4 linked regions of the Alligator mississippiensis genome follow. The protein of the gene in region 2 purifies or fractionates together with the protein of the main gene of each other region. This does not show direct contact. Links are inferred from orthologs where the notes say so. Each region holds a gene or a part of one and is shown on either strand. Other genes may lie near its edges.

The links. Proteins that work in one complex are often made in the same cells at the same time.
Region 1: the proteins of RAB7A (region 2) and VDAC2 purify together in Homo sapiens (affinity purification with mass spectrometry; 3 studies listed by BioGRID and IntAct, with this or other methods). This does not show direct contact. The link is inferred for Alligator mississippiensis from reciprocal best matches to the Homo sapiens genes RAB7A and VDAC2.
Region 3: the proteins of RAB7A (region 2) and PLEKHM1 purify together in Homo sapiens (affinity purification with western blotting; 5 studies listed by BioGRID and IntAct, with this or other methods). This does not show direct contact. The link is inferred for Alligator mississippiensis from reciprocal best matches to the Homo sapiens genes RAB7A and PLEKHM1.
Region 4: the proteins of RAB7A (region 2) and VDAC1 purify together in Homo sapiens (affinity purification with mass spectrometry; 3 studies listed by BioGRID and IntAct, with this or other methods). This does not show direct contact. The link is inferred for Alligator mississippiensis from reciprocal best matches to the Homo sapiens genes RAB7A and VDAC1.

The regions. Positions count from the first base shown.
Region 1 is NC_081829.1:27,927,610-27,934,775, forward strand, and holds the start of VDAC2 (voltage-dependent anion-selective channel protein 2), read left to right. Parts: upstream 1-3,931; 5' UTR 3,932-3,934; coding exon 3,935-4,028; intron 4,029-6,424; exon of another isoform or gene 6,425-6,524; intron 6,525-6,612; exon of another isoform or gene 6,613-6,766; intron 6,767-7,040; exon of another isoform or gene 7,041-7,166. UniProt on the Homo sapiens protein: Non-selective voltage-gated ion channel that mediates the transport of anions and cations through the mitochondrion outer membrane and plasma membrane.
Region 2 is NC_081835.1:19,831,898-19,839,881, forward strand, and holds the start of RAB7A (ras-related protein Rab-7a), read left to right. Parts: upstream 1-4,917; 5' UTR 4,918-5,023; intron 5,024-7,984.
Region 3 is NC_081827.1:160,284,183-160,291,733, forward strand, and holds the start of PLEKHM1 (pleckstrin homology domain-containing family M member 1), read left to right. Parts: upstream 1-4,316; 5' UTR 4,317-4,399; intron 4,400-4,427; exon of another isoform or gene 4,428-7,342; intron 7,343-7,367; exon of another isoform or gene 7,368-7,551. UniProt on the Homo sapiens protein: Acts as a multivalent adapter protein that regulates Rab7-dependent and HOPS complex-dependent fusion events in the endolysosomal system and couples autophagic and the endocytic trafficking pathways.
Region 4 is NC_081832.1:69,786,897-69,795,107, reverse strand, and holds the start of VDAC1 (voltage-dependent anion-selective channel protein 1), read left to right. Parts: upstream 1-4,976; 5' UTR 4,977-5,060; intron 5,061-8,211. UniProt on the Homo sapiens protein: Non-selective voltage-gated ion channel that mediates the transport of anions and cations through the mitochondrion outer membrane and plasma membrane.

The sequences.
Region 1 (7,166 bases), on a different chromosome or scaffold from region 2:
TACAGTTTAGCCTGTATTTCCTGTGAGGCAAGAGCATGCGTGTCCATAGGTACTGCAGAGCTGCTGATGTAGTCAATCGTTGTCCCCCTTTGTTATATGATAAGTGGTTTATGTGCATGTACCATTACTGTGGGGATTTTATGCAATTAGCACAAGGAATGTTTGCTTACTGCTGTGTGATTGGCTCATTATTCATGTAATTTGTCATTTTTGATTTCCCTTTTGTCCTCGGCCCCTGTCTTTTTATTATCTCATCCGTGTTAAGCATAAAATAATGCTTATTCTTACGTGTTGGTGCTGCATCACCTGTATTAGTATATGTATCTAGCCACATGGTGGAGATACTGAGACCTCCAAGAATACAGGCTGCATTAAGTTAGGTAAATCTCAGAACTCTGAAGAGGCAGGAGGCTAAGACTTTCTCCTGTGATGGCAATCAGCATTGCTTCCATCTCTAGAGGAGTCCAGACTTGTGTAAATGCAGAAACTTCCTTTGAGAACACTCTAGTACTCCAGTTTTGCTTCCTAGCTGAGCTCTTAACCCTACAGAAACGTGGCTAACCTTCAGTTCTTCCTGTCTAATTTTATCAATTTGTTCCGAGTGGGTTGACTGCATTTTCCTCACCATTACAGAAAGTAGACTGGTTAGTGCCATGCTACCCATCGGACGTTCAAGCCAGCATAACGGAGGCATATTTAGGGTGTCTGTGATTGTGAAAGTTCGTTGCAGATCAAGTAAAATATTGTAACATACATTCTGTTGGCATTAAATATAGTTTTACAAGTTCTAAAGTCATAGCTTAAATCTTTGGTTTACACTACTTTGTGTTCCTCTCCTGGTTGGCCATGCCTCACCAATCAGCTGGAGAGACAGGTTATAGTAAGGCTGGAACAAACCAGCGTGGAATATGCAGCTTTCAACTCAGCAGGAGGCAGAAAGCCGTAAGTATTGTACAGAAAAGACTAAAGGAGACAGTAGCAGATTGGAGGGGGTTTTATTTGATTGATCAGAAAGAGAGTGCTTGGTCACTGGGAAGTTGGTGAAGCTCAGGATGTGAAATATTAGCACTTGGTGATGACCTCAGAGAGAGGCTAAGGAGTGACTGGCCATGAAGTTTCATTAATTGTGATCACCTAGTCTGGCTTCCTGCATAAGACGGGAACCTATTATGTTTGGTAGTGGAAAGTCCACTACAATTATTGGCAAGCTGTTGCAAAGGTTAACGACCCTAACTCGAGTGTGGGCTATATTTCTAGTCTAAATTGCTTAGCTTCAGCTTATAGTCGTTAGCTCTTGTACCTTGTTTTGATAGGCTGAATATCCATCTATTATCAAACTTATAGTTACACAGAAAACAGAAAGTGAATTGCCTTCAGGTCATGGCTATAAACTGACATATGTTGATAAGATAACTTCCAGCTTGGACAGTAGCATCCACAGATCAGACATGGCATGTCTTAGATACCTGCCCCATGGTACTGTACTGCAACAGTATAAACAGCCCCTGCTGTCTCTTAGTTAAAGATGTTTGTCATTAATGAGCCCCATGAAATGTGCATGACTAAAGTGCTGTTGCCTTCTTGTCAATAGTGTTGAAGTTAGCAAGGGTTAATGGGAGGGTAAGAGGAGAAAGGAGGCTTTGGCATAAGAGTTTCAGTTCTTAGTATGCACGGTCTGACTTCTCTTTAACACAGACTCACTTACAAATGTAATGTCATTTAGAAGCAGAGGTCAGACTACAATGTAATATGCAAACTGTTTCGACCTGTGTGACCTCTGCTTTTCCTCTTGCCCATATCAACAGCAAGAACTAATGGCCTTCAGAAAAAGTTCCCTCCAGGAGAAAAATCCCAAAATGGCAAAGCGATCTTGTTGAAATAATATAATAAAATAAATAAATACATACATACATAAAGATTTGGGGGTTTATTTCAAAATGGGAAATGAGTTGCTTAAAAATTCAGCCAGTATACTACAATCTTCAGGGTGTTCAGTAGGAACTGCTCCCTGGGTGCAGTTTATAGCTCAATAACTTGAAATGGCATGGGTCTGTGCTTACTCATGCAAGTAGGCATTGCCTATTTAAACATTAATAGCCTGCTGAAGGGGCATCCCAATAAGATTGCTTCTTGAACTTCAGTCTACAACATGCTTGTGAATAGACACCAGAGATAGCTGGAGTGGCGTTGCCTGAATATATCCAGATTTGGAGTATGCAGGCAGGAGCGGGTGGATGGGTGTGCTCAGGAATGTCCTGGCTGGAATATGTTGCGGTTATGTATCCCTAAAGGTCCTGTATTTCCCTCTCTTTGTGTGACAAATATAAAACAAAAGTGTCCAGAGCATAAACCTACTAGAATGTTTGGGTGATGGGAGCAATAACACCACTATTTATTAATTTGCATACAAGTCTCTATAGAACTATCAGGTATTAGGTACAGTTTCCCCACTGGTGGTTTTTTTTTTTACTCCAGAATAAAATGAATAAAATAAATACACAGAAGGTGTTCTAGAAAGTGTATGCAATAGGATTTGGGGAAGATTGTTCCCCTAAACCTCACACAACAGAGGCGATGTCTAACTTATAGATGGAGTAATCTCAGTAAAATCCGTAGAACAAACCATATGAGTGCAATTTCACGCTTTGTGTGCAGGGTGATGGCTTCAGGCACCCTAGACATTTTACAGGAAATGGTTACTATGCAGGAGAATAAGCTTAGCAAGTAGGTTGCCAGCTGGGATGAATAAAGAGAAATTCATTCATTCAGATCAATCATTCATACTACTGCAGGGAGCATATCAACCTCAGAATTAACCTCTTGCAGCCTTGTACAGTTTTGGACTATATGATCTCTGGAAGTCCCTTTCAGCCCTATTTTCTGCAGGGAGAAGTCTCACTGAAGTAGTAGTGCCTTCTGACGTAGGACCACAGAGACACACAGTAAGTAAGGGGAGCTCTGCTCTCTTATGAAAAAAATCAGTGGTCTTGCCAGAAAACAAAACTCTGCAACTGGAGGCTTAGGGAAGGTTTACACTCATCGTTTCAGAAGTCCTGCATGGCTACTTCCTACTCATATGAGCCTTCAACATATAGCCTGTACATTACAAATATCAAGTCCCAACAGTTAATCATGCCATATATTCTATTATTTCTCCTATATTATTTGGGAGACATCTTATGGCATATTTGCCTTAATGGTAGTTGCAACCAGCTAAATTCATTAGCATATCTAACATATACCCAGTTCTTACCCCATGTGGAGAGGGGGCGGGGTGTAGGCACTGAAAACAGATGTGTAGTATCCATATATACAGAAAGTTGTATTAGACAAAGTAGTACCAAAAGGCATGGTTAAAACACAGGCTTGAGAACCTAGAGATCTGAAATTCTTCTCTTCAGTTTTTTTGTCTGAAAAATGGGGGTAATATCTCAAGAAGGCAATATGAAGCTTAATTAATTACTTTTTAATAAAGAACTGAACATGGCTAGTATGTATGCAGTTCAAACAGAAGTAAGAGAGGGAAATTCCCAATAGTACAGCAGGAGTGAGAAGTACTCCTTCTGTTTGCTGACTGGTCTCACAGGTGCAAGCCATTGCACACATTTCTTATAGCAAATTCCATTATTCTGCTTCAGTGAATTAGGGAACCTGGGCTTCTCTGAACCAGGCTCAGTTTTGACAAGAGAGTTCTATTTGCATTTATATATTTACATGTAGTTATTTGAAAGCTCTTATATTTTGTTATCAGAAAATCTTGATCCCTTTAAAAGCAGAAGACTCAGAGTGTCCTTCCTCTTCAAAAAGGCCTTAAAATAGCTCCTCCTACAAGGGGCAAGGTCTTACCAATGTAGACAGCTTAGAATCCCTAGAGTTTTATAGAGCTGCAGCACAGCAGTACTTACTATGCTTGTTCTCTAAGCTATAGGGAAGAATGTTAAGGGATATGGAGATCTCACTAGAAAGGAAAAAGAAGAAGGAAAAGAATCGGTCGTTAAGTAAAAAAAAAAAACAACACAAGAGAAAAAGTAAGTATGTGTGTCCCCAGTTGGCTATTAGCTTCTTCTCTGAAGTTTCTTATTTTCTCATTCTTTTTGCTACAATAGGATCAATTAGAATGGATCATGCCCATACTTATACAAAAGAAGCAAGCAAAATTTACAGTAAGCAGCAGTATTAGTACTTACTACAGAGCCAAAGTGATTCTCCAGAACTAATAGATTTCCCCTAGAAGTGGTGCAAGCACCTACTCTGGATACCTTCAAGAAATACTTGGATGCTTATCTTGCTGGGATGATCTGACCCCAGCTGACTTCCTGCCCTTTGGGTGGGGGCTGGACCCGATGATTTCACGGGGTCCCTTCCAGCCCTAATGTCTATAAAACTAATGGCACAGAGACTTCCCTCAGTTCAGACAGGATGCAGAATTTCAGAGCTCTAGGCCTTCCTGCAGCCACTCTGTTCCTTGAATCCTTCTCTTTCCTACTCCCAAAACTCTGATGACCTACAACATTTTAAAAATCTGCTGCTGTTATTGTGAAGGGCTGGCAACATCTGCATTGGCACCAGTTCAAATTAACTGGTACAAACACCTGAATAGACGCTTATTTTTTTTTTTTAAATGTTTATCTTAAATCTGTTCCCAATTGGGTTAAATTAAAGTGAAGAAGTCTGGTTTAAATAAATTCTCTTGCACCAGTTTAACTAAATTGGTTTAATTTTTTTATCTGTAGCTAACTTGATGCAGCTGAGGTGGTTGACAAGCTCTTAACACAGATCATCTGTTGCGATCCATCTTAACCACACAGCTCTGTGGGGTTTTTTAGGTGTCTGGGGTGGGGTTTTTTTCTTGCCTTTGGATTGTCTTGATTATTGATAAATGCAAGTTTGAATTAGTGCTTTATTGTTAATTTATTATATTTGTATTCAACTTTAACTCCAGCTTCGTTTTACATGCTTAGCATGATGGATATGCAGACCTTATGACTAAGCTAGTAAATTTTCATATCAACTTTACAATGTGGCTTCTGTGATCACTTTTTCCACCAAACCCAGGCAGGTTTCACTGACAGCAGCCTTGTGCACCCTGACAAAGACTTGCAGTGTGTGTATGTAAAGTGGTGCTGACTAAGAAATACAGGCTGTAGGAAATGTGTGAATGGTAAAGATAGTTGAGGCAAAAGTAAGACCGTATACACATTGGTGAGTATTTACAGAATGATGGTATCAGAACTAGCCAAACTCTGAGAGGGCTACCTACTTATGTACTTTTTCCTTTCATGGCATATCACCACTGTAGCTCCAGTGACCATCCCCTTCTCTTGGAGATTTAGGCAATGAGGGGTGGTTGAAGGGTTTTGATCTCTTTATGCTAGCATGTTGATACAAGGGAGTGTGTGCGTTCTTTCTTCAGATACAGTGTATATAACATCTAGTAAGCCAGATGATTCATTATTGTTCCATAAGGGTGGGGCGGTAATTACTTGTATTTTTAGATTCCTTAAAATGATGCCAAAACATAACTAAAGTTTTAAGTTCTGAATTCGGGAAGGTACATTGTCCATTTTATATAAATATATTCTGAATGAATAATGGCTTTGAACAATGGACTGTTATAGGCAACAATCAGTATTTTACTTTAATAAGACCCCTATTTCTAATGTATAGTCCAACCAGTACTAAAGCATACTGATTTTTCTCATTCCCTTTTCATCCCAATTTCCGTTCCCTCTTTTTGTATGTTCTCTCATGAGGAATTCGCCTAACTTCTGCTATACAATACTTATCTTCTGTGTCTAAATGTACTAATCTGTGGGGGCTTGGGGGGTGAAAGCATTTCTGTTGGAAGGGGAAACTGCATTGAGGCATGTCTTTGCATGCCACTTTATGGGTGCTGAATACTTCATACCCTACTGCCAAACTGCTCTTTGGCCCACTATTGCACTAGTGACTCAATGATTTCAGCTGTAAGGAGTGTCATAAGGCACGTTGCACTACACTGACTGCTGCAGAACAGTCGTGTGATACTCCGTCTAGCTATTTTCCACAAGGGATCTCCTCAGCCATCAGAGAATCGCTGCAAAAAGTTTTTTGTTTTGTCAGCATCCTGATTTTCTTTAACAGTTTATGGTAATTTAGGACTAAAACTTGTAAGCGAAGAATCCTAGCCAGAATATATACACATTCCAGAAAAGACTGAGGACATCTGCCTTACATGATGTGTAAGTGCACTAGCAGTATCAGGGCACCCACTTTTCATGGTGGGAAATCAGGACAGCGTAGGAGGGCATCCAGAGCGTGGTGCTAGCGAGGTGTAAGGGTTAACACAGTTAACACAGAAGGCTTTTGGTGCTGGAGGCGAGGGAGAACTGTGCAGTAGGGATGGTGAGAAGGAGGGTGGCAGTAAGACAGGCCAGAGGCAAGCTTGTAATCCTTAAACTACATGTTTATTAGTGATCTCTGGTTTAGCTCCCTACAGCTCCTTCCTGTTGCTCCTAGGTGCAGCCTGACTTCTCTGTGTATGCCTAAAAATAAATGCAATGACCAGATTTTAAAGCAAAACCAAGAAGTCCTGGGTTTATTTTGTTTCACCCCCTTCTGCCCTTCCCCGACCTTTGACTCCCCGTGAGGGGACAGGGCCATCATTTGGGTAATGTTTTAGGCCCGGTGCCGATGGGCGCTTGCTTATCTTCATTTAAGGCTCGAAGGGCAGAGATCTTTCCCCGTGGGCAGGAGGCCTGCTTGACTTCACTTTCCGCTGCCTATTCTGGAGAGCCCGCGCGTTAGTGCACACAAGGACATCTCCATCCACCCACACAAAAGAGTACCTCCTACCGCGCGTGCGCGGAAAGGGGAACGCGCTTCCTCCGAACAGCCCAGCCAGCCCACGCGCCTCCCTCTGAGCCCCGCCCCTCTCCCTCTGGTCCCTCTAAGCCCCGCCCCTCCCGCGGCGGGGCCTGAAGGACCCCATGCCTGCCCGGGGCTGCCCTGCTCAGTGCCTGCCGGGAGACCGCCTCCCCCCAGCCCTGAGCCCCGCGCACCCCCACTGGGACGAGGCGTCTCTGTAAGAAGCGGGGCCCGCCCTCGAGGCGGGACAGCAGGGGCCGGGTGCGGCGGCGGAGCAGGCGGCGAGCTGGGCGGCCCCGGCTCGTTGGGGTCCTCCGCGG
Region 2 (7,984 bases):
TTATAAAAACAGACACCTTTAAGACTTCTTGAATTTTGCAGCCAGTAGCATTGCCTAAAGGTTCAGCCCCACAAACTGGGGCTGGTGATACTATCAGGATAGGTTTATTATTAGAAATACTACATTTGGGTTAGATTAGACCAGCCTCTCTGCCAGTTCTTCCATGAAACGTTTCCATGTGTTTCCTGTTTACTTTGTTTGTATTGTCTAGTGTAGAGCTGGATTAAACTAACATTTTTGAGTCCCATACTCCTGTGTCAGCTGGCTAAACTGCTGTTTCCCCTATGATTCCATATTACGGATAATAAAAAAGTGACACTTTGTCACTTCAACCACACAGGAACTGCTCCAACAACCTTACTGATACTGTTGATCTGTTCTTCATTTGTTCTATTTCTTCCTTTCCCACATTTTTAGTTCCACTTTCCCATCTTCTGCTTCCCCATGCCTTTCTGTCAGCTACCTTGCAGAAGTTTGCTGCACATGGGGGCATGTGTCCCAAGGTGTGAGAAACAGTTGTGCTGTAAGGCAACTGGAGGTTTAAAGGAAATCAATGGAAGGAGGTGTTCTAAGTGCTCCAAAGTGTCCCAAGTATTTAGCTTGGTAGACAGGTTAGCTAATGGAGACTGTTCGTCACAGAGAACAAGACGATGGTGGAGCAGATTTTTACTTCCTGATTTGCAGGAATTCATATAAGAAAATGTCTTGATGTCTTACGTCAGACAACCCAAAAAAGGACTACTTCAGGCTACCCAGCAAAAGGACCTGAATCTATTACCATGTATGAATGTCTGTCATAGGCAGGCCACCAATTCCTACACCATTACAACTGCAAAGAGTTGAGATACAGTTTCAAAAAGATCCAATATTCAAGGTTTGATTTGTTTTTAATTCTCAAGGAACTGGACAGGAAACACTGACTTCCTTCCAGGCTATGAAAAGAGTTTGTGCTGGCCAATCTCTTCCTAAGGGTTTCTGATGAACTGAGCTTTTGTTTTAGCAGAGCCTTATTTGTATTTTGGTTGATTTTGGTGTCTGTCGTTAGGATCCAAACAAAATTATCAGGATGCCTTGATCCATTCCTCCATCTGTCTTCATAACATCTTTCCTCTTTAACTTCTGTGTCTTTGAATTTAACTGCAACGTACACAACCAGTTGTGGTGCTTATATATGGCAAACGTCCTGTTCACTTCAATGGGAGCTGGATTGGAGCCCATTCATCTGATGAAAGGCAGCATTCCCTACAAGGATTAGCAAGCCACCATAAGAACATTTTTGCATGGCACAGCTGTCAGTTATGCAGAAAGAGAAACAAAGCAACATCCAAGCCTTGTGCTAGGTTTTTTTCTAACCACCATGTAATAAAAATATCCCACTGAAAATAAACAAGTGGCATTGTTGCCAGAATCACTGTACACCACAAGAGAAGGCAGGATTTTCCATTATGTACCATGCAGGAAAAAATAAAAAGAAACCTTTAGCAAAGTGGGCAGAGGAGCCCAACAGCTGTCCGGTCAGCGCTGGCTGAAAAGAGATTCATGGCAGTTGTCACTTGACTTCTGTCCCAGGGCAGACGAGCAGTTTAGGATCTCAGGCCTGAATAACCCAAAACAGGTCTTCCTCTGGGATTATGCTAAATAGCCTGGCACTGTGTTTGCAGTTCATCCAACATGTTACAGCCTTTTCTCAGGGGAATACACCAATAGAGCAACTGCTATAGTCACTCCACGCCTGAAACCCATGGCAAAATAGGCTCCATGGGGTGGATTTTGGTAGCACCATGTCTAGAGATATGGTTCTCCTTTGTGATTTCTGTCCTAGACCTTTTCACTAAGTCTTTATTCTTCTGTTCAATAGTCCATTACCCTAATTACCACCCTGTCCTTCCCGTTTAATGATCTCAGTGTGCTTAGTAACCATTAATAAACATCAGAACCCTATTGCAAGCAGGGTCATATCACGAGCAGCATCCTACAGATGGGGAGGCTGAGGCATAGAATAGGTAAATGGCTTATTCGGTGTCATGTAAGTCAGGGATATAACCTCTCTTGACTTTGAATCCTCTGCTCTAAGTGTCCCATTCAGTACCTCATGCAGGCGATATTAAATCTCTCATTGATTGCAATGATATTGTACCAGGTCTGAAGACCTGACTCTCACATAAGCCATTTTCATTTGGTTCCCTTTGCAGCAATACAGCCAAGATGCAGTGGATTCTGTGATGGATATTTTTTTTGACAGGGTTGCAAATCCCAACAGATTATAACGATGATAATAGTTTATTTGTAACATAATACTGCACTGCTCTTCTATCAGCAGGTCTCAATAGGTAGAGAAAAACCAGTGTCTTGATTCCTAAGTTTATTCTTTTATTCTTAATCATAAGCTTTTTCACCTCTTGCAGATACAAGAATTCAAGTCTGAATTAAAAATAATATATAGGGTTTTACTTTTTCACCATGCCTCTAAAGAACTTTGCTAAAATTATCTTTTACTTAATTTGCCTGGGTCCTTTTAGTTTTTCCTTTCCCTGATCCACAGGTTAGCTAACTGATCATGTGATTAAGATAAATACTATAACATATGAAAGTACACGCTGAATAATGCAATGAGTCTTCTACCAGTATGCATGGCAGGATATACAGGACAGTTACTGTTTCTTACACATATGGGTGTCAGTGAGCTTACACAATCCCATTGCAGCTCTTCTGCTTGTTCTTATATTAATCATTGCTTAACAAGTGCACCTAGACACGTTTTGCAGCTCACCATTTTTAATTTATAAGCAAATCTTTTACGTAACAAACTCTCTTGTTACCAGACTGCTATGCTCAATGTAGCACTTACAAACCAGCCTTGTAGAATAAAAATTAGTTCAGCTTTGAATCAATCTTTGTTTATTGATTGTTATGCTAGAAGACTGGCAAGAAATTGTGTTTATTTCTGTTTCTTTCCTTAGAAATCTCAAGAATGGCAAATTGTTGGTCTATGATTGGGGTACCTGGGTGCTAGGAAAATATAAATCAAATATAAAATAGCGATGGGTCACTGATTTTTTTACAAGCTATGTAGAATAGTAGCATTAGTAGTCAAGTAGTAGGTACCGTTTTAATTTCTTCCCAAATAAATCTTTAACATTTATATAATCATTGGTTTATCAAATAGCTTAATGGCTAGTCCAGAGAAAAGGCCTCTTCACTAAGGCCCAACCCTTATCCTGCAACCACTTATGCACATACTGAACTTCAAATATAAGAAATCCCACTGATTTGGGAATGCTAAAGTTTAAAATTGAGCACGTATTTGCAGGATCCAACCGTATACGTATAAGCCTTTATAACTGAGGAGGGTCCAGACGTTATGAGAAGCAAGTGAATCAACACTGACATTTTACAGCTATCTTGTCCTAGAAGTTCTGTTCAAGGATTTATCCTAATTCAGTGGTGATCCGCCTTTTTCCCTAGTGGGCCAGATGAGCAGTGCCTGGTCTGTCCACGGGTTGGATCTGGCTGGTGGTCACAATCCAACGCCCAGGGCAAGTACAGCCGTGGCTGCATGGAGAGGGAAAGCGGGGTGGTGGGGACAGCCCAGCCTGGCCCTGATCCAGCCGTGCAGGGGAAGGGAGCGTGTCCCAGCCCTGATCTGGCTGTGTTGTGTGATGGGCTGGGGGGGTCAGAGAATTTGGCAGCAGGGACCATATTAATGGCCACTGCTCCCCTGCTGCCAAATTTCTCAACCAGTTGGGAGCTCCACATTTGGCCCACATTTTACCCCCTGCTCTAATTTGCTTGTGCATGTCTGAGGGAAGGAGGATTATAGACTAAAGCATGAGATTTAAGGGGGGGACTGCACGCCTGCAGAGGTGCGTAGAGTCACAAGGGTTTTTAGGAAGGTTGCCAACTCTGAATCTATTCCAGGTTACCAAAATGCCAGCACACAATTCAAATGTGCCACATGCTTGTGTGTACCAGTCACACGTTACGGCGCTTAGACTTTACATCAGGAAGGCAAAAGCACGTTGCTGTTATGCTTTAAAAACTCACCGGACTACCGTATAAATCAAATTCAACATTTGATATTTCTTTTAATGAATGCCCTATCGTTTATCCCTCCGGTGCCCCTCAGCAGTCTCCTGGAGATTTACGTCTAAACCCTGGAGACTCCTGGACGGTGGCGACCCTGCTTTTTAGCAGCCAGGGTCCCTCGCAGAAGAGGCCGTGGAGCTGAGCAGCAGCAAAACCCGATACAGGGGCAATTGGTCACAAAGCTCGGCTTGAGCAGAGAGGAAGCAGAGCAAGAAATAAAGCAAGCAGCAGATTATGACTGATTTCACTTAATGACATTAGGATGCACGCGGGGCCTCGCAGAGCGCCAGACGCGTGCTTTTCCCAGTCCTCCTGCCGCGGGATTTGTTCCTGTCCCTGCCGGTCACGCAGCCGGCGCGTCCAGGGGCCTGCGCCAGGGACACGAAGGGCTGTCCCCACCAGCAGGTGCGGCCAGGCTGACTGTCCTGGGACAAGGCCACTCGGGCGGGGTCCTGCTGCGGGACAACCCCCCTGCCCCTCTTGAAGTCCCTGTGAGGGATATCAATTAACACGTGGCCCCGGGGCCAGTCAGGGCTAAATGTGCGTGTGAACCATTGTCCCAGCCTGTCTGGACAAGCCTTCCCCGGTCCCAGCAGCCAGCTGCAGGCGGCCACGGGAGTTACAGTTTTAATCCGGATTACGAGCGTCAACACGGGCACAAACCTGCATTGCTACGATACCCCGTCCCGCCCCACGTGACACACAAACCCCACCCACCAGGCCCATGCTCGGGCCCAAGATGGCCGGCGGGGGGTCACGTGATGCGGTCCCGACGCGGCCTCTCCCTTGCGCGCTGACGTTACGCGTCGCCGGGCGGGTCCCGTGACCGGAAGCTGGGGAGGGGGAGGCGGAAGTGAAAGCGGAGCTGTCGGGGCCCATTAAAGCGGAGCGGAGCGCAGAGGCGGCCACACTCGCAGTGCCGCGGCCCGACCAGACGGTGAGTGTCGCTGTTCCCTCCCTCCGCTCCCGGGCCTCAGGGTGGCGGCGCCCCCGGGGGACCCCGGGCGGGGCGGTTTGGGGGGGTCTTTGTCTCCTCCCGCGGGGGCGGTGCGGCAGGACCCGCCCTCTCCCCCCGCGCACCCCCCCCGGGTTTGGTGGACGGTTGTTGCGCAAGGGGCAACTTAGGCCTGCACGGGGCCCGTGGCCGGGGGTGGTGCAGCCCCCTCTCTCCGCCCGTAGGGCGGGGGCGGGTCCCCCCGCGGCTTCTGCTCCGCCTCATCTAGCCTCGCCTGTGCTCCGGCCCCGTCCCAGCCCAGCTGGAGGAGCGGATATTGTGTGTCGGGGGGGGGGGGCGAGGTGCTGGGGCTGAACAGGCAAGGTGGGATTGTAGCAGTGCACGGGCAGCTCAGAGCGGTTGCTGGTGTCTGGTGGCCGGCACTGGCTGTTCTCGCTGGCAGCTGTGTGTGCCTGACAAGCTGTAACCCAGTGTTGTTGGACCCCTGCCTGGGGCAGAAGGGCCTCACCCCCCAGGCAGCCCTGCTGAAGAGTGTGCGTGCCACTGCTTGGCTCTGGCTTTCTGTGTTTAATATGACTGACTTGGAAATACTGGTTTCCTTGGCTGTCAGTTAGTGGTGTCAGCCAGTGCCCAGTCTGGCTTCTACAGAGCAAGTGTGGCTGCCCGTAGCGTTTGCTCAACTGCTCCTAGTTACAAATAGGTCTGGGGTAATGTCAGGGTGGTCAGCTGGATATTGCTATGTAATTGAAGCTGTTGTATGCCATACCCTCTTAGTCAGGAAGAAGCATGCTGTTTTTCCCTTGTGACTTCAGCAGCTGACCAAACACACATGACTTGCTATCCATGAACTAATAAGACTTTGTCAAGGTATGGTGAATTGAGTGAACAAGGAAAGTATCCTAGGTTGAATGTTGTTCTTCCTAAACGAACCAAGCGCCAGGCTGGAGATGAAATGGCAAACACTTCTCTTGTGGGTTCTCTCAACTGATAGCAATCACAGGCCTCTAGTCTAGAGAAGTGCAAGATACTGTTAAACTGCTGAAATAAGCAGAACTGCTGTGAAAGAACCACAAGTCCTGTTTTTTTTTCCAACAGCCACCCTTGAACAGATGGGAAGAGTAATGGTGAAGACTCTCAGGAGCTAAGAAGTTAAACTAAGGAACTGCAGGCTTTTTGTTGTTGTTAGTCTTCTTCCCCCCCCCCGCCCCCCATGCCCCCATTTAGATTAAGTGCTGTTGTCATGATACAACTTTTGTGTAGCTATAAAGTAGCTTGAGGCAGAACGCTGGGTTTTGTGAAGCCTGGCTTTCAAGGAATTTTCACAAGCAAGTGGCAACATTTTTTGAGAGGTCTGTGTGGTAGAGTACTGCAGATACCCGTGATGGCTCTGGTATCAATAGCAGTTTACCTGTAGTAGCTATCCCGTACATACTAACAGCCCAAATCCAAAATCGACTTTTTAGGTGGGTTTTTCAGTACAAGATGGCACTACATCTGGATAGTTGCTGGGGGCAGAGCTAGCTTTGGCCTGTGGTATAACATGGGCACTGTGTTGGCTCAAAAAAAAAAAGTTATCCTGTTTTAAGACAAACTGGCTGCTGTAGCTTGAGTCTTACTTGCTTTACTGCTATGAACAAATGTCCCAAAGACAAGTGTAGTTTTACTGTACTTTGAAATAGACTTTAATATAAGTTTTTTGCACTGCAAGGGCTGCACCTTTTTATGTGGGTAGGCTGTTTCCTGTCAGGACAAAGTTATGGACAAAGTTTGTATATGCCAGATTTCCTCATAGACAATCGGGTTATCTTTTTCCAGGAATGTAAGTTCCAAATGAACTTACATTGGATTTCTCTTCTCTGAATGTGTTTCATGTTTCTGTGAGCCAGCAATTTGCAGACTGACATGGGCAACCCTGACTGGATGGGTGCAGAAATACAGACCTAATGCATCCCAGCAGAGGTCTAGAATGCAAGTTAAAGGGATAATAGTGCAGGATGTTATGATGCAGTTAAGATGGAGGGAGCTGCTGGTCCTCTGGACAGGTGGAGTTGCATAATGGCTGGAGTTGAATTTTGATATCCACTAGTAAATTGTGAACTTAAACCAATGCAATTCTTGCATAGTTTGAGACTAGTGTGCCTCTTCAAATCAATGCAGTTTCTAGGAGGGAATTTGAAGTCTAGAAGAGTTGTTTTAATGCTAGTATATAGTATCTGCTTCGTAGCCTTGCAGTCTCTACTGTAGACTTTTTCTACCCAAGCTTGACTTGTAACTGTCACAAGGGTGTTTATTATTGGTAACAGAAGTTGAAGAAACTGTGACAAAGAGGATACTCTTAAGGCTGAGATTTGTAGCATAATGCCTCTTCTGTCCTTGTTTAAAAGTACTGTTTTGGTTTTTTGTTTTTTGGGGTTTTTTTGTTTGTTTTTTTTTTTATTGCCCAGCCTGAAATGGGTTAAGTTCAAATAGTGTGTTTGTCTAAGTTTCTGATGCTAGAACTTTTATTTGGGGGGGGGATGACAATGCATGAGATGGCTGAATTGGCCTGGCTGCCAGAATGCCCAAAGTAGTTGGGACTTGCTCACTAGTTTATGGAACAGCTTGGGTTAAAAGCAGTACTTCTGCCTTGTTAAACATGTTGGAAAAATTTGTGCTAACCTACCTATTCGAAGGCAAAGTCATAAGGATCCAAGTGCTTTATAGTGTTCACATGTTCAGGTCAAACATGTTCTAGTCAAGCATGACACTGGCTTTAGCAATTGCTGTCTAACAATTGCCTGTTAGTGTTGGATTCTTTTTCTAGCTGAGTCTCTCTATTTCTAAAACCTGCTTCTGTAATGACTTCTGATTATGTAAGACCTTGACGCGCCTCTCCTCTTTAAATTTGGTTGGTTCTGGGAATTGCAGGAAAGTATTTAACTGTGGCTGCGCATAGTTACGAGT
Region 3 (7,551 bases), on a different chromosome or scaffold from region 2:
GGCTGGACATAAGGAAGAATTTCTTTACTGTCTGAGCCCCCAAGGTCTGGAATTGCCTGCCATCGGAGGTGGTTCAAGCACCTACTCTGAACGCCTTCAAGAGAAAATTGGATGTTTATCTTGCTGGGATCCTGTGACCCCAACTGACTTCCTGCCCCTGGGGCAGGGGGCTGGACTCGATGATCTTCTGAGGTCCCTTCCAGCCCTAATGTCTATGAAATCTATGAAATCTATGAGTTCCCAGGCCCCGCTCTGAGATCAGGATCGGGGACCAGGAGCTGGGAGTTCCTTATCTCCCCACCCCGGCTTCGCCACTGAGATCAGGAAGCTGGGGTCTGGGATATCCTTATCTTTCAGTGTCAGCAACGCAGTTGCAAAGCTGGCGGGGCGATAAGGATCTTCCAGCCCTGGCTCCGTGATTGGGGAGCAGGGGTAGGGAACTCCCTACTGGCAGAGTCTGAAGACTCTGTTCCCTGCCCAACTCTGATCGTAGAGCTGGATGGGAGAACAGGTGCAGGGCTGGGCAGGGAACAGACATGCAAGTTGAGGGGCCACATATAGACAAAGCCCCCCAATTCCCAGTTTTAGGCATATTACTACAGACCACAATGCCAAAGTCTAATGAATCTCCCCAGCAACTCTCCTCTGACTTTTGCTGCACTTGTCTGTCCTCAGCATTTCTGGAAATCAGTGGTGGGGCAGCTCAGTTTGGACACTCAGAGAAAGAAGACACATGCAGCTAGGCCTGGGTTCCCCAAGGAGCTCAACATGTAACATTACTTCCATGTGAATGCAGGGATTTGCCTGGGAGTACAGCATAGGGGGAGGCACACGTTGTGTTTCTGCTTTAACAATTAGTTCCTCTAGCATTTGCCAACCTTTGTCTTGGCCCCACAGCCAGAACTTTTACTCCTGCTATTAAGCATCTCCAGAGAGAATCTAGAGATCAAATTTGTTCATGCTCAAAGCACCTTCTGTGGCACTTTCACTGACTGGAAGACTTTAGCTGCCTCCCAGCAGCCAGAAATTACACGTAGACACTTGCCTGCCTTTTGCTGGCTGCCAGGGACAATTCCATACTGCACTTTTTATGCTCAGCAGCACATTTGGTGACCACAGCTAGAAGTACAGGGATCTGAACGTGCCTTGCAGTTTGGTGGTGACAGCTGCTATGTGCTGACTGAGCCTTTTCAGTTACCGCTACTGCTCCCTTGCTCAATCTCAGCCTGGCTGCCCTCACAACAGCTGAAATTTTTCCAATTTAAGAAGTCCAGGAAAAGGAAGATGCATCAGGAAAATGCCCTCTACAGAACTGACAAAGTTTTAAAATGAATTGTGCAAGGCAAGGATTCCTTAGGATGATGTCTTTTATTGGACCAACTGTACAGTTATTGGACCAACTGTAGAGCTGGACAAGCTTTCAAAGGCAAGGCATTCTTCATCAGATCTGACCAGAAGAGATCACAAGCCAAGCACAGCATTGTAAAAACCAACTATGGGAAGGGGTGAGAGAAATTTCCAGGGGTAGAATCACAGAAAATTAGCGTTGGAAGGGACCTCAGGAGGTCATCTAGTCCAACCCCTGCTTAAAGGAGGACTGTCCCCAACTACATCATCCCAGCCAAGGTTTTGTCTAGCCGGGTCTTAAAAACCTCCAACGATGGAGATTCCACCACCGCCCTGGGTAACGTATTCCAGTGCTCTACCACCCTCCTAGTGAGAAAGCTCTTCTTAATATCTAACCTAAACTTCCTTTGCTGCAACTTGAGACCGTTTTTCTGAAATCTGCCACCACTGAGAACAGCCTACTTCCATCCTCTTCGGTACCACACTTTGGGTAGCTGAAAGCTGCTATTAAATCCCCTCTCAGTTTTCTCTTCTCTAGACTAAATAAGGCCAGTTCTCTCAGCCACACCTCATAAGTCATGTGTCCCAGGCCGCTAACCATTTTCATTGCCCTCTGCAGGACTCTCCAATTTGTCTACATCATTTCTGTAGCGGGGGGCCCAAAACTGGATGCTACTCCAGATGCGGCCTCACCAGTGCTGAACAGAAGGGAAGAATCACTTCCCTTGATTTGCTGGCAATGCTCCGACTAATGCAGCCCAGTATGCTGTTAGCCTTCTTGGCAACAAGGGCATACTGGTGGATAATATTCAGTTTATTGTCCACTGTAACCCCCAGGTCCTTTACTTCAGAGCTGCTGCTTAGCCAGTTGGTCCCCAGCCTGTATCAGTGAATGGGATTGTTCAGTCCTACGTGGATTGAAAAAAAAGGCTCCAGGACCAACCCCTGGGACACTCCACTTGATACTGGCTGCCAACTACACATTAAAGCCATTGACTACTACCCTCTAAGCCTAGTGATCTAGCCAGTTTTCTATCAACCTTACAGATCATTTAACCAACCTGTACACTTCCTTAGCTTGCTTACAAGAATGTTGTGGAAGACGATATCAAAAGGCTTGGTAAAGTTTAAGGTATGTCATGTCCACTGCTCCTTCCCACATCCACAGAGCCAATCATCTCATCACAGAAGGCAATGAGGTTGGTCAGGCATGACTTGCCCTTGGTGAATCCATGCCGACTGTTCCTAGTCACCTCCTTCTCCTCCAAAGGTTCTTAGAAATGGATTCCTTGAGGACCTGCTCCATGATTTTTCCGGGGACTAAGTTGAGGCTGACCAGTCTATAGTTCCCTGGATCCTCCTTCCCTTTCTTAAAGATGGGCACTATATTTGCCCTTTTCCAGTCTTCTGGGACCTCTTGCAATTAGCATGAGCTTTCAAAGATGATGGCCAGAGGCTCTGCAATCACATTGGCTAATTCCTTCAGCATCCCATCCAGCCCCATACACTTGTGCATGTCCAGATTTTCTAAATAGCCCCATACCTGTATTTTTGCCACAGTTGGCTGCTTACCTCCTTCCAAAACTGTGCTGCCAGGTGTACTAGTCTGGGAGCTGACCTTGCCTGTGAAGACTGAGGCGAAAAAGGCATCAAGTACTTCAGCCTTTTCCTCATCGTCTGTCACTAGGCTGCCTCCCTGATTTAGTAATAGACCCACAATTTCCCTGATCTTCCTCTTGTTGCTAACATACTTGTAGAAACCCTTCTTATTACCTTTCATGGCCCTTGCCAACTGAAACTCCAGTAGTGCTTTGGCCTTCCTGATTTCATCCCCGCATGCCTGAGCAATACTGTTATACCCCTCCCTAGTTGTTTGTCCAAGTTTCCACTTCCTATCAGCTTCCTTTTTGTGTTTTAGCTCACTGAAGGGTAGCAGGCATACAATTGGCAGAACAAAAGCAGCTCATCACAGCGAGATCACGGTCTATCAAAAAGAGACGAGGGTCTTCCTCACCTTTCACGTGTGGAAATGTGTCACCCTAAGAAATCCTGGCATAATTTATGGACCATCATGACTACACAATCATTAAGATAACACGTGTCATGATTTCAGTTACACAAAGTGGTGAGTTTGGGGTGGGGGGAACACACATGTGAATTCTCCTAATATTTTCAGCCAACTCCCCTTTGCACCCTTGTGCAGCATCAAGGCCAGAAACAACCACTCTGATCAACTGGTCTGCTCTTTGGACAGCACAAGGCTGAGACTTCCCCCCTCAGATTCCTGGGCCAGCCCAGGCCCTTTGGGGTTGAGATGGCGCTTGTCTTTTCAAAAGAGAGCTGCCCTGGATTCAAAGATTCAAGCATCAGCAAACCTCCCATATCCCCACGCAGTCTGCTCCATAGCAAATGACCCACCCTGCCGAATCCTGGTTGGGGCAGGAGAGTTGTACAGGGAAAGCAACCTTTTAGACCTGAAGCATCCTTGTTAGACTCGAGGCACCCCTCAGAAGTTGCTGCCTCTCCACTTCCATAGGGTTTTTTGATGGCGGCAAAATAACGGAGCAAGTCTTCGGTCTGAAAGCCGCCTTTGCGACAGGCGCCAACATTTTTGCCATGACGGAGGCCTGCTGGACGCCTGCGGGTTTGTCTCACGAGTAGCCCACGGGTGTCGGTAGCCAGCCCCGCTCGCAGCGCCCGCCGCACGCACCCGGGCAGGGGCTCAAATCAGCCCAGCCCGGCCCAGCCCAGCAATGCTCCGGGGGGCGGCACCGGAGGCCCGCCCCGCCACGCCCCGCCCCGCCCCGCGCGCTGCCGGGCTCTGCGCTGCTCTGGGCACTGAATGCGCGACAGCCCGGGCGGCCCCGCCCCCCCTGCGCGAGCTCAGCCAGTGGCGCCGACCAGCCGCCGGGCGGGAGCGGGCTCGGCGGAGCCCGGAGCCCGGAGCCCGGGCCCCGCCAGCCAGGGGGCGGGGCTCTGCGCCCAGGCCCCGCCCCGCCCGCCGGTCACGTGGGGACAGAGGTCTGCGCTTCCGGATGCCCACGCCGAGCCGGTGAGTGCCGCTAGCCCCGACTGCTGCTCTGCTTTCTGCTTCTCGCCTTGTGCCCCCACACCGTCTGCTGCGCTGCTCCCTGCTCTGTGCTGCTTGTCTGTTCTGCTCTCTGTTTCCTTTCCTGTGCCTCTGCCCCACCTGCTGCTCTGCTTTCTGCTCCCTGCCCTGTACCCCCTGCCCAATCTGCCGGGCTCTCTGCTCCCTACCCTGTGTGCCTCCTGCCTGCTCTGCTTTCTGCTCCCTGCGCTATGCCCCCGGCCTGCTGCTCCGCTTTCTGCTCTCTGCCCGGTGTGCTGCCTGCCTGCCTCATTTGCAGCTCTGCTTTCTGCTCCCTGCCTAATCTTGTGTTTCCTGGTAACTTTGTTGTCGCCTCTCCCATCAGCCGAATGTGCAGGACTCCTTTTCTCTTTCACAAGCGGCAAATTACTAGCAAGCTTAGAGTGACCCGGTTTCAAATCCTGAACTTTGCTGTGAGAGGAAAAGCTGTGGGGACAGCAGTCTGAGTGATAGTCGAGGAGTCAGCTCTTCTCTCGGCTTTTCTCAGCATTTACTTCTTTTCTGTGGGTTACTGGTTCCTTTCTCCCCTCCCCCTGCCTCTCTCTCTCTCTCTCCTGTTGGAGATGGCACTGGGAGTCTTCCTTCTTTTAGGGCTCCAGGGCTGATGACCTGAGAAGCGTTGTTTCAGAAGAGGAGAGGAGTGAGTTTCCTTTGCAGGCCTGGTGGTGCACAAAAGAACCGTGGGCCACGCAGAACCACCGCTGTGCCAAGCTGCCCAGTGATGCTTTGAGTGGGGCACTGCTTTGTTGGCTCATGGATGTTGCTGATCTCTGCATTACCTTGCAGAGCTGAGCTGGTGGAGCAGTGGGGAAGAGCCACCTTCCCTGCCAGGAGCTCCCTCTTTCCTCCATTGCCCTCTGCAGTTAATTTGCTGAAGCTGCTCTGCCAGCAAGTCCACCCCACTCCTAACCCAAGGGCAGGAGTCTGGAGAGGCTAGGTGTTCCCTTGCAAGGGACTCTTTCCTTCTCTTTGCTTAGGATGCATTCGGTAGAGATTGACCTTCCATTTTGTGTGGTGTTACCTGGCTTGTGCTCCATGAGATGCCAGGAGATGGCTCTGCAGGTGAACAGTCCTCCTCTGCTTTTTGCTCCACCCATCATCCAAGTGGAGCTGTGCAATTTGTGGGGTGGAGAGAATAAGTGGCCTCCAACTCATCACAGATGTAATTGTGTAGCTTATTGCCCAGTGATCTTACTGCCTTTGCAAAGCCCTGTTCTCTCTCTCTCTGATGTGAGCCTTTCAGTTCAGAAATCCTGCTGCTTATAGGAAAAAGCCTCTGAGAGGGACTTTGTTAAGAAGGAAAGCTCAGAGGCCCAATATCTTGCCTGCAGGACTGGTTTGTAGTGGAGTCAGTTAACTCTGAGACCCCTGCTCAGAGAAGTTGAGTCTCTTTTCTCATTCCCCATGAGCACTAAAGCCTTTCAAGTGAGCATTTCTCCATACCTGGAAGCTCCTGTTTTTTTGGAGTTTATGGTCTTTATTCTTGTTCTTTTCAAAGTCATTGAGAGCATCTGGGAGGCAGGAGAGGAACTGAATTGGCAGGTAAGTCTTGAAGGAAGGCAGTGGTCTGTTGATATTCTCAAGGCTCTCGGGGAGTGAAACTCGAGTGGCACCTGGGTGGGGAGCCTCTTCCTTCTCTGGGGAGCAGCAGCATAAGAGCCTGGTCAGAAACCTGCATTGTCATTCCCTCCTCACCCACACACACACTTCACTCCAGAGCCAAAGGCCGTCCTTCCTTCACTCTTCTGGGCCAGCAGTGCAGCATCAGATGCCAGTAGCTTCTAATGCTCTGTTGCATTTGCTCTGGCAGAAAAGAGAAAATGGGTCTCATAAATTATGAGGGTAGTATGACGGTTTGCTAAAATGGATTGAAGCAGATTGAGACAGTCCTTCCCTCCGTAGGTGGAATTTCAACATATTCAGGTTCATGATAAGTGGTTCCCACAGTACATACTTACCTCCGTGTGGGACAAGAACAAGGTACCTTCTGTCTTGCTGTCAGACTTCCTGATTTGCACAGGCACTTTTGTGTGGACGATTTTATCTTGGAGAAGGTGAGGCTGCTGTGGCGATTCAGTTGATGTGGACGCCTGATGAAGGGTGACATTTTACTCTAATGCACACATGCAGTTTGGTAGAGGTGGAGCTGGATCTGCCTCTGGGTCCCATGTCGGTCACTGCAAGCATACGTACTCTACTGAGGAGTTGTATAGCGAGTGTACAAGAGGCTGAGCACACGCATGTGCACACACTTTTGTAGTTTCACAGTTTACTTGCCCTTCTATTTATTTTTCTGCATGAGAAAATTCTACGTTTAAAATAGTTGTTAAAGCTGGGCAGCTTCTCTCACAAGTCAGGAAATGAATTTAAGCTTAAGCAACTCACCTCAACTCTACTTCCTTTTGCCATTTGTATCGTAGCATGGTCATTTATTTTTCTGATAATACAATCTAAATTCTCAGCTTGGTTAGCTAACCTGTAACATCATCAAAGAAAATCCTCATTCCAGTAGTTCTAGTTTCATGCATTCCAGTAGTTCTTTATTTTTATCTTCACATCACTCTGGAAATGCATCTAAATCTAATAGATGCTCATTTTCACAATTTTTTTTCTAGTCTAAATTGGTTCTTTTCTTTGTGCTGCAGGGCCAATGTGAGATCACAGGAAGTCTTCAGTTGCAGCCTTAGCTGTCGTTGTTGCAAATTACATATTAGCTGAATGCATAATGTTCTGAAAAAAACGTGTCTTTTACTTTGTTTGAGAAATGTGTGGTTGTGTAATGGGAGGGCACTGTTAAATGTTTAGCCTCTTATTTGTATTTCCTCATTGCTGTGCAATCCTGGAAGAAGAGTATGTGGAGTGCGTCAAGCATACAGGTGGAGGCAGGTAGGTTGTCTGATTGGGATGGACCAGGAGTGCACACAATGGCAGTTGCAGGCTCTTAAGCTGAAATTGCTGCTTATGCTAGTAGCTACAAGTAATTTTTTTTTTTTTTGCTTGCTCCCATGCATGTTATTACCTGGACTAGCTTTTATAACCCTTATATCCTGCAATGGGTTAACTGCTTTGTTGATTCCTTTTGATCTCTTTTTAAC
Region 4 (8,211 bases), on a different chromosome or scaffold from region 2:
GGTAGGTTTTGTGAAAGACAGTGGATGTAATGCAACATCACAATAAGGAGAGGGAGCAAGAGAAGCTGGCTGTATAAACAGATAAACAGTGGTCCTTGCTTCTATGCAAACATAAAGATATGTGGAACTTGTGGATAGGCATTAAGAGAGCACCATCACTTATTCTCCCATATGATCTGTTGGGAGTCTGGTGTCATACAGAATGGAAAAGTCAAGTCCCAGGGAAAAATGACAGACTGGTCTCCATGAGGAGTCTTAAGAGACAGATCCATTATTATTATTATTATTATTATTATTATTATTATCATAATCATCATCACCATCATCATCATAAAAGATTAAACTGCCTAATCTTATAATTGCAATCCTGAAAATCCCCACCCAATTGCCACCTGACCCTGGAGGCACCTCAATTCCAGAGATGCCTTACTTTTGATCTTTCCATTTCCACGTACCTAAAATTCCACTACTCCATATACCAAGAAGTGTCCTGGATTTGAGATGCTCCAGGAATTTCTCTGTTTGAGAAAGCTGTATTCTCCATATGTGCCATTATCCCTCAATCTGAGTGGCAGCATCTTGCCTAGCTCATGCCTAAACCAAATCTGCGTCTAGAAATGATTCATTTGTCTGCTTGAGTCCCCTGAGGGACTCAGTCCTGTAGCTCAGGGGTGCCACAAGTGACACAGGCAGCCTCTGTGTGTGGCACATGTCAGATCAGGGAGTGGACAGGCAGCACTGTGGCAGATAGGACAGGGAGCAGAAAGCAGAGCAGCAGTTTGGGCAGGGGAAGGGGATTGAAATGGCACTTGGGGAGTGTACAAGACTAATTTATGGCATACCTGCCAAAAAAGGGTGACCCCAAGTGCTGTAGTTGTTCTCAGAGTATGGTTGCCACACACACTCAGGCTGGTACAAGCACAGTGCCAGTTGTGCCAGCTGTCTTTCAAAACGGAACTGGAGGAGGTGGTGCCAGCCCAGAGGTTAGATCACTAACCCTGGTACCTAGCCCTAGGTACACTCCATGCATGTACTCAAGGTATACTTTCTGCTCGGTGTGCTGCTTGTTTTAGAACTCATTCTGAGGCACCTAACTCATCCAATCTGCTGTATAGGGAGCTCAAGCACCGAACACAGGTTGTATGTGCTGGTCTAGGAGCCAGCTGCCTTAGAAGTTAAGTGTGGCAATGCCTTCATTTTAGTTACTTAAGGGTTTTTTTGATCTATCCTAGGAGACTTTTCTATGGCCAAGTCTTGCATAAGCCATTTTATAAATGGGGTAGAGCCATCTGAGAAATTCTCTTATAAACAGATACCATCAAAGTGGCTCATGGAACTATCTTAGGCATTTTTATAGTACCATCAAATCCTTTCCAAATGCTACTGATGGTTAAATGCTAATATTACTTATGTCTTAGTGAGTCTGATATAATGTGGGAGACGATAAAATTTACCAGAAGGGCATCGAGGAGCTGTTAACTTGGCACATGAATACAGAGACTCTGTTTTTAGAACAATTAGGCCCCAGTGGCTGTGTGTGGGCACCAGGATCCACCCATGCAGAGCAGCTAACAGAACTGGGGCCTTAATTTGGAATCTAAAGTTGTGCACAATTTATAAACTGAGCTGCTCCTGGCAGCAGGAAAACCCATTGCTGTGGCAACCGTAACTGTGATTAGTGAAAATCAGAGGCTCTCCCTCATTTTCAATTCATAGGCATTTAAAATGTCTTGTTCTGAGGTCTGCCAATGCGGGAATCAAAGGATGATTGCCCTGACAGTGCTGTTTATTCATAATCTTTCTCCTCTCCCCTGCTCCTTTTTAAGGTTGTTATTAGCGACGCCCAAAAATTTGTAATAAAGAGCAAAACCAGAATGAGTTTCCACTGGTTCCTTTCTCCACTTTGGTGTAAGTATACCAAGAGAGGTGTTACGGGTTACCGTTAACCATTCTAAAGGCACTTAAAATGAGAGTGTCCGCGCATTAATGGGTGTTAAACTGTGTTAAGTTTAAGATACTCTCTAAGTATTCCCCTTACGCACGTGGCTGTATTCCCCTTATGTACTATTATTCTTGCCTCTGAGTGGAAGCCAATATTCTAGGCCTCGTGGGTTGTTTCCAGTTGGAGGAGGAACTGATGACAGAGCAAGGTATTTCTTTGATGCAATCCTGTTTATTAAAAGGTCCTGTTTCTCTGAACGTAGGACAGTCGCGTGGCAGGAGGCAGTTTGCAGAATTCCAAACCTCTTCCCAGGCAGCACTCTGCCCAAAGCAGTTTTCTCTTGACTGTGCTTTTCTCGTCATGTTCTTGCTGCTTTTTGTCTGCTTTTTTCTGTCTCCAACCAAAGTAATCTCCAATTCCTGTATTTGACTTCAGTTTAGTAACATAGATGGCAGTTTCTATTGGTTTGGTTATCACTAAACAAAATGATCTTTACTTTTCCCTTCATTTGGCGTGTATAGAGGATGGCCACTGGCCAGCATGCCCAGCATCTTGAAATGTCAAACCTATTACCTTAAATTGCCATAGGTATTGTCTTGGTGTGAAATGAGTCCTTTCTTTGTTCTTTGATCCACTTCCACTTGTCAGTACTTACTTTAAGATCCAATGTGGAAAACCAGATTGAGTCTGTTTACAGCATCTAGATTAACATCTATTTTGTCATAAAACCTAAGAATCCTTCAAAGTAGCTTCATGTTATTTCAATAGTTAAAATAGAATGTGCTGTCATTATTTATCTTAAGCAGAAACATAGATAAGGCCCAAGATCAGACTGAAGTCTCAATTATCCCTTTCTGATACATTTTTAAATAGCTTGTAAAGCCTTGTTCTCACTGGTAGAGGATGAGGGGCTGACTACTGGACAGAATTCCTCCTATATCAGTTTTGAGGTAGCCCAGTGCAGGACAGTATATGCTTTACAGGACTGCTGGAACAACTGGTTTCTAACCAGAAAGTCTCTTAGATCCTTTTGCTGCTCCCCATTTAAGTGTACAGCACTGGACCCAGTCCAGTGGAAATTCTGCCAGCTCAGCTTTACCTCTTTCTCCCTTTGTAGTTTTCTTCTGTGCCAGCATTTCCTAAATTCATTCTTCACAATTTTTTAGTATTAGCTGCTCATCAAGAACATTCAGCAAGTGAACAGAAATCCATTTCTACTTCATTAGAACACAAGCAGCTAAAATTCCCCTGAGACCCTGGGTCCCAAAGCCCCCTGAGACCCTGGGTCTCAAGCCCTCCCCATCTTTCCTTTCCTGTTATGGTTTCTGTCCTGAAGCAACAAGGTAACTTACTGTAGGACCAGTAAAATAACTATTCTGCATTTTTTTCCTCCAGTAGAGACAGTGATTGGAAAATGGAACCAATTCAAAAACCGGGGAAATTGGTTTTGAAAGTAAGACTTCTAGAATTTCAGCAAGAAGTCTGAATAGCCAAGATAGAGGATGAGCTAATAATTGGTTTGGATATCATATGTAGTTAATAACCATGTAATTAAATGCCAGGAAATGTGTCCAACAAATTAACTCAGTGGAAATTCCTTTTAAAGAATTAAATGAAATTCAGTCAAAAGCAGCCAGGCAGTGCACAACAGCAAGAGACAGAAAGAGGAGGACTGGAACTGTAGTCTAGACCTAATACCAAGAGAGGACACTTTTTTGGGGGCAGAGTGCTGCTGTGGGAAGAGGCTTGGGATTGTGAGCCAGAAAACAGTTTCCTAGAGTCCCTGAATAAAGTAGGGATGAACACACATCTTTTTGTGTACACTGTCTGGAAATAAACCAGACTAAACCAAAGAAATGCCCGACTCCTATATCTGCTTCACTTCCTAAGGAAACAACCCACCATCAAGTCCTGAATATTGGCAACAGAGGGTAACAGAATTGAAACTGGCCCTACTTTCTCAGCTTTTCTCAGTCCTTTTGTATATCCTGGCGATGATATTGGTACTGGCTATGCAGTAGTCACTGATACCGAGGGGGACCGCCTCTGCAGAAGCTTTCCACCTTGCCCTGAGGGTGGCGAGACTTAGGCTCTTGCCGGTCATTGGTAGCAGTGAGTTTCTCAGTTGAGGGCCTTTCACCATAAACACCCTTGCCTTTGGCTCTGAGAAGTTCACCCGAGGTTCCTGCTCGTCATCCTCACCATGGCTGCTTCATGACCTGGAACGGGAAGTGATGATGTAAAACGCAACTATCTCTATAACTTTGGACTTCGTCTACTTCCATATGCCCTTCTGCTTCTTCCACCGCTCCTGGGAGACGGCCAACACCCTTTAAATAAAACCCTCCGGCCAAAAATGCCACCGAGTCCTCTGAAACCCTGCCTCTCTCCCCCCGAGTACTGACACCACCCTGCTGTGCAGGGCCGTCCTTCGGGTACGGCGCGACCGCTCTGAGCCCCGGAGAGACTGCGGCCCCCACTGCGGGACCTGCCTGGAGCTGGCGGCTCAGCCCCGCGCCGCGGGAGAAGCACGGAGACCTCTCCTCGTTGTGGGGGTACCACGGCCCTGCCACCCTGCTAGGCTCGGCTCTGCTCCTGTGTCACCCTCAGCGCTTCCTTCTCACCCACGGCCCCGTCTGCCCACCGCTCTCTCTGTAGGCCCAAGGTCCGGTTTGACTTCTCCTCTTGATTCGGGACCACTTCGCCCCCCGACTCGACGGCCGTCTCCTGCTCTCGGCCGGCCTCTCGCGCCCACCGACCCTGCATCACCGCTCAGCAGGAAGAAGTCCCCATACCCCAGTGTCACCCCCCCGTCCCTTTCTTCCCCCCACTCCCTTGCTGGTGCTGGGCAGCTCCTTGGACCCCTGCCCCGGGGAGGGGGCAGGGGGAGCTTCCTTGTCGTCCAAGATTGGGGGGAAAAAAGCACATCCTGTTCCCCTTCCACCCTGCTGCGCGGTGCCAGGCCCGCCCGCATCCTCCCGGGCTCTGCCTCCGCCTCCGCCCTGCTCCTTCCTTTGCCCGCCCCCGCCGCTCAGAGCCCGGCTGCAGCCGCTGCAGCGCCCGTGCGAGCGAGCGAGCCAGCGAGGCAGGGAGGCGCCTGGAGCCCGCGGGGCCGCAGGTAACGGGGCCGGGGGGATGCATCCCGGGGCCGGGGTTCGCATGCGGGTCCTGCGCCGAGCACCGCGGGCTGGCGGGCGCGGCCCGGGCGGCGGCGCGGGCTGGAGGTGACCTTCCCGCGGCGCGGCAGGGCCCGGGAGGCCTCGCTGCCCTGACTCAGCCCCTGCGCCGGGCCCGCGGGGATGCTCCCCGCGCCTCTCCATCGGCCTCAGGCCCCAGGGAGCCTCAGCCCGCGCTTCTCCCGGGGGCCAGGCCGGGACACACGTTTCGGGGCCTGCGTAGCCCTGGAGGGGCTCATCCAGGTGGCACAAAGGTCTGTCCATCGCGTGGCCGCCGGAGCCCCCCTCACTTCTGCACGCGTAGCCTCGCCTTCGCCGTTCCCGGGTCCGGAGGGAGCAAAGGTCGCCGCGGCTCCACCCGCAGCGCCGGCCCAGCCGTGGTGTCGGCCGGTCTGACCCCTCGGTTTAGCCCGTCCGGGCCACCGCCGCCGCGTGAGAGACGCGGGCGAATCGGGCCGAGCGAGTCCTCGCCAGAGCGGGAGAGAGACCAGAAGCGAACGCGGGCAGCGCGCCCTGGTTGCGCGTGCCGTTCAGCATCGTGTCTTGGTTAATGTTAATCTGGGGCAAGGCGCCTGTCGGAGGTGAAGGGGTGCAGGTCGTAGCCGTGTTGGTCTAAGGACACGGGCGGACAAGGTTCTTTGGGTGAATCTCAAATCTTTTATTCGCCCAGCTTCAATAGTTGGAAAAAAATATTTAAGCAAGCTTTCGGGTTCGCCAGGCCGAGTCAGAGGTGAATTCCCTTTCTGTGGGGCAGGCACCGCAGTGGGGAGCAGCAAGCGAGTCTGCCTCTGCCTAGCAGCAGGTGGGCTGGAGATGTACCTTGCAGAGGGACTAAATCAGTGCCCTCGCCCCTCTGCCTAGTCACAGCCTGGCTTGGACCCACTCTTTCCAGTGGTGGTAAGGCGGCTCAGCCAACATGGTCCCTGGCTATTTGTTAAAGCAAAAAACCACAGCTCCAAGCGGAGCAGAATTCACCGACGCTGTTGGGTTCGGCCTCCCGGGATAGCAGTAAAACCGAGTCCATGTTGGATTTGATGTTGCCCAACAACGGCAGAAGCCATGTAATTCAGGTTGTATTGGAGGATCACAGAAAATTTTGTCTTCTCATTCATGTGACATTTTTCAGACTTTCTCTGAAGACCGACTTGTACACTGCAGACCTCTCAAAAATGCCACCCGGAACAAGAAAAAACAAACTTCATGCAACTCCCTACTTGTTCCTTTCATTTTTACCCATCCTTCTCTGTACTCTTTCTCTGTCGTCTTCCTACTCTTCTGTCTGATTGTATGGTGGGGCCTGAACGGGGTGGCCCGGATCAGTCTGTTGCTATGGCAGCCGGCGATGTCCCCGGTTCAGGGGGTGACTTTCCTGTAGGAGGAAATCTGCAGGATCAAAGCAGCGAGAAGGCAAATCCCAAACAGGAATTTTGGTGATTTAGCAAATGAAACGCACGCTCATATAAGATTAAATATGATAAATGCTTTTTTCTCCTGGGAAAGGAATCAGCAAAACAATATATGCTGGAGGACCAACATTTAATGGGTCCACTCCTCTGATGTGGGTGTGTGTAGATGACATGGTAGACATCGTATGGCATAAAGAGTGCCTGGTGCCCTTGTCAGGGTCTCACTGCTACCCCCTGTGTCTTGATACCTGGTGGCATTGTGCTACACTGGTGCTGTAACAGTGTATCTCCTAGGCTAGCTGGGCCTATTATTCCACTGTCTACCAGACTGGGGCAGGGAGAATTGTATCCCTGGCTTTGGTTTAATATATATCTTAAATCATACAAATAAACAGGAAAAGGCTTCAGTGAAATGAAGTCTGTATCTACTGCATTTTCACCTGTAGAATCAAGAGCAGACACTTTAAAAAAATTTCCTTAATTCCCTAAACACAGATCATTAAACTAGGTTTATACATATGTGCTAAAGGTCTCCTAAAAATGTTTATTATTTGATAAATCCTAAAGAGAGAGGAACCACTAGTATGTGGAATACATCAGTATTTAAGGCCTGTTTATTTGGTCTGTCATGTGTTGGTTTGGGGTGGTTTAAAACATGTGTGCTAGCTCAGGAAACTACCAGTGAGCCCCTGCAAACTGTTTCATGAAGTCCGTGGGGTGCTGCGGGGGCTCAGGAGCATGCTTGGGTACAACAGCTGGCTGGCTTCAGGCTTAAGTTGGAAGTCACTGTGGTGACTTAGTTATATGGCTTCAGTGGAGTTGTACAATTGTGCAGAGTTTATGCTTCAGCACTTAATTCATGTGTAAGGCAAAGCGTTCACAAAGTGTGTACCTAGCTCCAGATTCTGGAGAACCTGATGTGTGGGTTTAGTTGAAGACATCATTTCAGTGGTAGTGCTGGTGTTTTAAGTTGACCACATGCAGAAGTCGTGTCAGGATTTGGCCCATAGGGCCTGATCAATACCTGAACAGACTTGTTTTTTGGACAGGAGCTGTAGTTTGAGGCACTGATGGCTGTTTTCCGTGTAGATCGTTTTTCCATAGGAACAGAGGACTGAAAGGAGTGTCTCTGGCCACTAGATCCAGTCCCCTGCATTATCTGCAAGCAAACATTTACCTACAGGTGCCAAAAATGTGCATTCCAACCCTCGCATGCCACAGCGACAAGGCACAGCACCAGATATGCAAATAATCCCCTGTACAGCAGTTCAGTGTTTTGCAGTTTTATGGTACAAACTACTACCCCTCATTTTGTAATATTATTTTTAATTTATGAATTAAACTTTGGCCCGAGAACCCAGAACATTGCTTACAGTTGTGCCTCTGTGCACTTGAAGATCATTATCCCAGCTGTTGAATCAGATGTCTTAGGTTTGTGGATCATAAGGCACAAACCAAGGTGTTGTTCTGCCTTCTGGTCTGCACAGGGAGATTGTAATTTGTCTCATAATCTGTGGTTTTGTATTGCTGTGATGTGCACCAGTCACTCGTTGTTTAGTGAACATATCCTTGGCCTGTATTATGGAAAGACTGCATTTAAAGTGCTTTAAAAAGAATTCTTATGTGGAAACAGTGAAATTAAAGTGCTTAAAAATTCAGTTAGGACTAGTCTTTACAGAGATGTATT